Linked DNA regions of Cricetulus griseus. The protein of the gene in region 1 binds, or shares a complex with, the protein of each later gene. Links are inferred from orthologs where the notes say so. Each region holds a gene or a part of one and is shown on either strand. Other genes may lie near its edges. The genes, in order: Oprl1 and Pnoc.

What was found.
Region 2: the proteins of Oprl1 (region 1) and Pnoc are in contact, whole or in part, in a cryo-EM structure (PDB 8F7X), measured with the Homo sapiens proteins. The link is inferred for Cricetulus griseus from reciprocal best matches to the Homo sapiens genes OPRL1 and PNOC. Residues at the interface, in NP_000904.1 of Homo sapiens: Gln107, Asp110, Gly114, Phe115, Trp116, Val126, Ile127, Asp130, Tyr131, Met134, Gln192, Glu194, Ile198, Glu199, Cys200, Leu201, Val202, Ile219, Val279, Gln280, Val283, Gln286, Gln291, Pro292, Ser293, Val298, Leu301, Arg302, Thr305, Tyr309; in NP_006219.1 of Homo sapiens: Phe130, Gly131, Gly132, Phe133, Thr134, Gly135, Ala136, Arg137, Lys138, Ser139, Ala140, Arg141, Lys142, Leu143.

The regions. Positions count from the first base shown.
Region 1 is NC_048599.1:187,986-191,083, forward strand, and holds the end of Oprl1 (nociceptin receptor), read right to left. Parts: coding exon 2,835-3,098; intron 2,758-2,834; coding exon 2,234-2,757; 3' UTR 578-2,233; downstream 1-577.
Region 2 is NW_023276807.1:220,422,584-220,426,871, reverse strand, and holds the start of Pnoc (prepronociceptin), read left to right. Parts: upstream 1-1,391; coding exon 1,392-1,517; intron 1,518-4,288.

The DNA.
Region 1 (3,098 bases):
CATGAGGTTGGAGCCCTACCACCTCATTATTACTGTTAATGGGATGTGTGCAACTCTGAAATATCTTTCTATAAAGTAAGGATACAGTCAGAACACAATCTCATAAAGTCCAACCCACCACACCTTCATGGAATGCAGCTTTCAACCCTGTGAGAAATTCATGTCTAGTGCTTATAAACTGCTAGACTAAAAAAGACCAAGCTGACAGTGTCTGTCATTAAAACTTGTATAAAACCAACATTGACCCACCAGCCCTATACTGGAAGCAAGGACTTTGGCACATACGATCCTGGTCAAATTGAGGCAAAGAAAAACCTGTAGGCCAGGAAGAAAGACATCTGCCCTGAGGGTGGGAAAAGGGTGGTCATTGTTTTGGGAGAAGGAAAGGCAGCAGCTTCTGCAACCTAGGATCTAGTTTCCCTCCCATAAGTCAAGAGGCTCCTTAAAGGCTCCTTGTCCTCTGCCAAGTGGACAACAGGTTAAAGAACCCATCAACTCAGTTCTACGGCCCCTCCCAATGCATGTGAACTCCCAGAAAGTTACTCCTATGTAGCTAGAGTCAGCAATACTTATTCTATGGAGAGCAACGGTCACAAGGTGTTTATTATGGCACTCCTTCATTACTCCAGAGGCAGGCTCAGGCCTGGCTACATGCATGGAAATGACACTTGTGTGCTTAAATACATGAAGATGTACAAATTCACAAACTTTTTAACCTTGGCAAGAAAACACTATAGTTAATTGTTCCCACCCAAATGTCACAGAAAGAGCCCTGGTCTCCCCATTAAGATTATTAAGGCCAGGTCTCTCTGAGACAGTAACTAGCCCAGGCTCTGTATTGTATGAAGCCACCTAACCAAGGTCTCAGTGGAAGACAAAGGTTGCTAGTATTTTGGTAGCTGATCCACAGAAAGAGCATCTACAAAGCCTCTTATTTTCTGAACCATCAAATAGATCTCCAAGGTACAGATTCTTCTTCCAGTGTCCCCAAAACCTGATGGTCCTTGCAGATTGGCTCAAATGAGCCATTTTAGGCTTCAGCTCTTATAGCAACTCTTCATTTGATGCCATCTTCCAATTTGACAGCAAGCTCAGGCCTTACTTAAATATGCCCTAAAGCCTGTAAAAGAAGCAGGTAGTCGATGTAGGTACAGAACAGAACACATCCTGCCGCTACCCTTCCCAGGCTATAAGTATGCTTCTAGCAGTACAGCTACTGACCTCCCATGTCAAGTCAAAGAGACTGCCAGAAAGCTGAGGGAGGCTGTGGGGAATGAGAACAGAGCATATTCTCCTGCTCCACCCTTACTAAGCAGCCAAGACCAGTACATGTCGCCTCCATGTTGTGAGTAGTCTACAGAGGTCACACAGCAGCGTTCTCCTGATTACCTCCCACACACCTAGGAGCAGGGCTTGCCAAGAAGTCTGTGATATAAGAGTTCACAGTGGTTTTGGAGGGGAAAGAGCCACAAAGAAGTTCTGGATATTGTTCCATTGGCCTCTTGCTGAGAAGGTGGCCCATGTTGGAGCCACAGTCAGATAGAACAGGCAGTGGCAGTGCCAAGTGAAGTCCCCTTCACAGACATCATGTACAGCATGAAGAGAATCTTTGGAAAACAACCATCCTAGAACCCACTGATGTCCACCCACCTCAGGTAATCTGGCAGCATTAGTGGAGTCAGAACCAGAAAATGTTCCAAGCCAAGCTTAGGGCCAGTCTCAATTTAAAAAAAAAAAAAAATGCTGCCTACAGCACCAGGCAACACCAAGTATTTTCAGCAGTCCTATGGAAATACTGAAAGGCTGAGGGCAACAGCATACAACATGTGACTAGATGATCACTGCAATACCTCAGGTTGAGCCCACCTAGAGCCAGGGCAGCAGGGAGAGGCCAGAGAAGAGTTGAGTGAAGTATGTATACCTATGTGGGCTCACCAGGCATGTCCACTGTGTTATGGATGTTTCCATGCAGTGTCCTTTGATCCTCTCTGGTCTTACACCAGAGTGGGGAGCCTAATCTGACATAGGCCGTAGAGGCCACTTTGATGCTTTGACCTGTCCCATGGTGTTATAAGGTCTCCCTCTAGGATTAAGCATCCTGAGACAAAAGAAAGGCCATTCAAAGACCCAGATGCTCAAGGTCAACCTAGAGAGCAGTGACCTGTGTGAGTTCTGTGTTGGGTGTAGATGGACTCTGTGGGCTGACAGGCACCATGGGCAGGTCCACGCCTAGTCATGCCGGCCGTGGTACTGTCTCAGAGGTCTTGCAAGCAAGGCCCACATCCTTGGCAATGCTGCGCACTCGGTCAGAAACCTGCATCTCCCGGTGCAAGGCTGAAGCACAGCAGAACTTTCTAAAGCAGGCCTTAAAGTTCTCATCCAGGAAAGCATAGAGAATGGGGTTGAGACAGCTGTTGACATAGCCCAGGGCTGTGCAAAAGCGCAGGGTGGCTACTGCGGTCTCACTACCTGGCTGAACACCCAGTCCTTGGACCAGCACAAAGACTTGCACAGGTGTCCAGCAGACCACAAACACAGCCACCACCACCAGCACCAGCCGTGTGATACGCCGCAGGTTCCGGTCCTTCTCTCGGGAGCCTGAAAGCAGACGGACACCACGGAGCCGTCGAATCATGAGGCTGTAGCAGACAGAGATGATCAGCACAGGAATGATGAAGGAAAAAAGGAAGATGCAGATGGCAAACACAGGGCCCCAATAGTCCTGAGGGGCAGGGATCTCCACCAGGCATTCGATCTCTGCAGGAGAGAAACGGGGTTAGAAGGGCCACCAAGAACCATGGGGAACTGGTCGGAGAGGAGGACCACCCACTGACCTTCATCCTCCACTTGTGCGGAGCCCATGATGGCAACAGGAACACCAACCACTGAAGCCAGAGCCCATATGGCCACATTAATAGCCTGGGCTTTGCTGGATGTCCGAACATCAAGGGCACGGATAGGGTGGCAGATGGCCACATAGCGGTCTACACTCATGGCAGTCAAAGTAAAAGTGCTGGTGAACATGTTGTAGTAGTCAATAGCAATGACAGTCTTGCATAGTGCATTCCCAAACGGCCAAAAGCCCAATAGGATATCTG
Region 2 (4,288 bases), on another chromosome or scaffold:
ATGAAAAGTCCAAGAATCCAGTAGTTGTTCAGTCTATGAGGCTGGATATCTCAGTTGGTCTTCAGTATAAACCAGGGGGCATGGGCCTACTTCTTCCAAGTAGACCCCACCTACTCTTCACTAGCTCCAATAATGTTATCACCTCATGCATTTACCAAGGGTTTAACCTATTTGTTATGTCAGCAGCCTCATGATCTCAATGTTTCTAGAGATGTCATCACACATGAACCAGAGGAGTAATTTACTAATAGTCTACATGGTATGGGGTGTGTGTGTGTGGGGGGGGGTGGGTGGGTGTGGGTGTGGGTGTGGGTGTGGGTGTGCTTGCATACTGTGTGGGGGTGTGCTGATTGTGTGTATGGAGACCCAAGGTTGACTTCAGATATGTTCCTTAATTATTAACTACACTACATATGAAGAAGCATGTTCTCTCACTTAGACCTGGAGTCCACTGATTCAACCACTTACTTGTCCACCTTGTTCTGGGGACTGCCTATCTCCCACTGCACTGGTATTGCAGGTGGTCCCCCAACACCACTCAGCATTTGCTGAGTAGGATCTGATCACCAGTCCTCACTTGCATAGCAAGCACTTTACCCACCGAGCCATTTCCCCTACCTCCACCTACTTGTTTTTAGTCTGTTCAAGCCGTCTACCAAGATTTACCTTCATAGATTTCAACATATGGACTCTGAGAAGACACAATCACTCAAACCATAGCAGGAGCTCAGTTCTGATGTGGGTGACAGACAGGGGACACATGGAAGCTCCCTGGGAGAGAGAATTGAGGGACAGCATTCATAGTCTGGCCAGAAAAGAAGCCAGGAGGCATTTCAGTCACTCATCCCCCTGCCTGCCTCCTGAGAAATGGGATGAGAAACTATGCCACCACACTCAGCTCCTCATCTGTTCCTTAGAAACCTTGGCCCTGACAGGTCACATCTCATCTTCCTAACAGGCCTATGGTAAGGCGCCTGCCATGCTTTCTCTTTTATGGCTATGGAAACTGAGGTTTGAAGAGGTTGACTTAAAGGCACTCATTGGTCAGGAAGCAATGCCTCTGGCCTCCAGGAAAGATGTTTCCCATCCCACAGCTCTTTCTGGAACGGCAGAGTCCAGCTAAGTGGCAGGAATCACAAGTGCTCTCCAGGGATCTGCACTACACACAGCCTATGAATGAAAGCAGTCCTGGATGGCAGGACCAGGCCACCAGTACTGTCTACAGTCTATTCCTTCCCAGGTGAATCTAAGACTTGAGGAATCGCCTTGCTGAGGAATGATGCTTGCCTCCCTGGGTCGTGATGCCCAGAACTGACGAACCCTCTCCCCAGACTATACTAATTGGCACGTGTCCTCTATGTGTTTCAGCTGGTTGCTCCCCACTCTGCACCATGAAAATCCTGCTTAGTGATGTTCTGCTGCTCAGCCTGCTCTCCAGTGTGTTCAGCAGCTGTCCCAGGGACTGTCTCACCTGCCAGGAGAAGCTCCGCCAAGACCCAGACAGCTTCAACTTGAAGGTATGTCCAGAAGGCCAAGGGACTACCCTCTTTCTTGCCATCTCCTCCTCCTGACTCCAAAGCAAACACTAAATGAAACATTCAAGTCTCTCCTAGAGGTCATAGGACTTGTGCAGTGTCATGTGACCAAGAGGAAACAGGTGAAGCCAAGCTGCATCTTCCTACTATGACCCCTGTGGTCGTCCTACTTTACCACCAGACCCCTGTGGTCCTCCTTCTCTACCACCAGACCCCTGTGGTCCTCCTACTTTACCATCAGATCCCTGTGGTCCTCCCTCTCTACCATATATCTGTTCATGATGCCCTTGTCCCAGTGTTACCCAAAATACATGTAATATATGTATACATATGTGTCCATATATATTCTTCTTCCAACCCATGAACTAATGACTTTACTCTTTGCTGTGACAAAAATCCCTGAATCTTAAGGAAGGGTTTGTTTTGGCTGAAGTTTGAGAGCACAGTCTACCAAGGAGGAGGCAGCATGGAGGTGAGAACTTGAGGCAGCTGCTCACATTGTGTCCACAGTTGATAAGCACAGAGAGATGATACACTGTTCAGATCACGTCTTCTTTATTCAGTCTTGGACTCCAGCTCTTGGGCTGGTGCTCCCCACACTCAGGGTGGGGTTCTCTCTTGAAACACCCTCATCAGCTCTGAGAGTGTCTCCTCAACCCTAACCCCCTCATGTTGACAATGAAGGTCAACTATTATACTCCAGGAACCAGAGAGAATCTTACTTTCTGTGGTGTCACAGGGTTAATATTCTCATGTTATGACACATTATTTCAAGTGATTTCTTTCTGTGAATATATAACTTGTTCTCCATTCCCCATCTGCTGAGCATGTATATTGTCATCCATTTTTTATATTGCAAATGATTCTACAATGAGCATCCAAAATGCTCTCTTGTGTTTTACATTCCCAACTTGAAGTACAAAACATTAAATTATTATTCATTAAATGAACTGCTTTCTCACTCCTTTAATTGCAGCTTAGATAGCTATTCTCTCCTATGAAATCCAGTATAATTCAATTATTTTTTTCCTTTGAAGTCAATAAAGTTGATTTCAAGGCACCGTGCTTCAAACCCCTCCACCTTTCAAAACAGGCAAGTAATTGCTCTTCCTTAAGGCAAATGTGCAGACATGAAATCCAGCGTAGCTGGTGCCCAACACACCTTGATATCTCTCAGCTCCAGGTAGAAATGTGGCCTCAGCCCCAACAGATAAATATTACACTCCTCCCGGCCTGGACACACCTGTCTTCTGGGTGGGAAGGCACAGTCATGCCATCAGGAAGGGCAGCCCAGACCACCCATCAAAGAGATATGTTTCTGATGCTTGTCCATCCTATTTTCTTCTAGGCATGTCAGCCTGAGGATATCTCATCCTTCAAGAAACATCTCTTGCATCTCTTGCCTGTCTTAAGGGTCCCTTCCCTCTCTAGACAGAAAGGCTCTTTCCAAGTCTTTTATATTGGCTCTGTTCCTCTGCCCAATCCCTAACAGGGATGCTGAGATGTGTGTTTCTTGACCCTCTTCCAAAATGCCACCATATACCCTGGCTTTTCTCTCCTAGGCTGCAGATAACTGTCAAAGAAACCCCTGACCTTCTCTATCTTGGGCTCAGGCCCAGGCCCAAGGCACTCTTTACAGCTCCCAGGGAACCCTGCTTTTCTTTGCTGTCCTGCCACCTTGCTCCTGCCTCTCCCTCCCCCTACCCACTAAATCCCACTTATACTTCAAGAGCAAAGTTAAGCTTCACATCATAACAAACACACTGGTCACTCACAAAGGCAAAGGTGAGGTTCAAGTGGAGTTTTGATCTGAAAATACATAGTAGAATCAGAGGTAACGCTAAGCAGCACACAGGAGAGGGAAATAGAGGCCTCTAGGAGACCCAAACAAAGACAGAAGTTCAGGAAGGTAAGACCAAGGTCAGGACCAGCTAGAAAGAGCTGGAGAGATGGCACAGTCAGAGTGATGGTCTCCACTAGACACTGTGGTACTTGGGGTAACAGGAGCAGCAGAGAGTTCCTGGTGCTCTGGGGTATAAGAATGAGTCCCCATGGGTTAGATTCCATGTTTAGCCCCACATGCTCAACCTATCCCAGGCCATTGCTGTAGATTGCACAGAGTTACGAATGGCCAATGTATGTAGGATGAAAATTAACACCACCAGGTTTGTTCTCTCCACAGTGGCCTTTATTTCAAATATGCACACACCCGCAGTTCCTTTAACCAATCTGGCCTTGAACTTCATGAGGAAATGAAATAAATTCTTCCTGGGTGACGCTCATGGGTTGTGCTTATTCTGGCTCTTGGTGCCATCTCTCTCTCTCTCTTTTACTCTCCTTCTCCCCCTCTCTTCTCTCTCTCTCTCTCTCTCTCTCTCTCTCTCTCTCTCTCTCTCTCTCTCTCTCTCTCTCTCTCTCCCCTCTCTCCTTTTTCTCTCTCTGGCTCAGGTATGAGTTCCTTTGCTGACCTATCTGGATATCCCAGCATGGGGCCCAGTATGTGGCCCATAACAGGGCTCACGCAGCCTGCCTCATGGAAATTGTATGATTCTCAGAACATGAGGCTCCTTGCTGGGCACATCCTGAGCAGTCACTGTAAAGTCTTACATTTGGTCTTTCTGGGGTGGTGAAGGATTGGAAGCCTGCTTCTATCTTTCCATTAGCATCTCAAATCTTTGGAGGCCAGAGAACACTCACTTTGCTTCCTAGAAACAAGTCAGAAAATGGATTGGTAAAAACCTCACAGCTGGAGA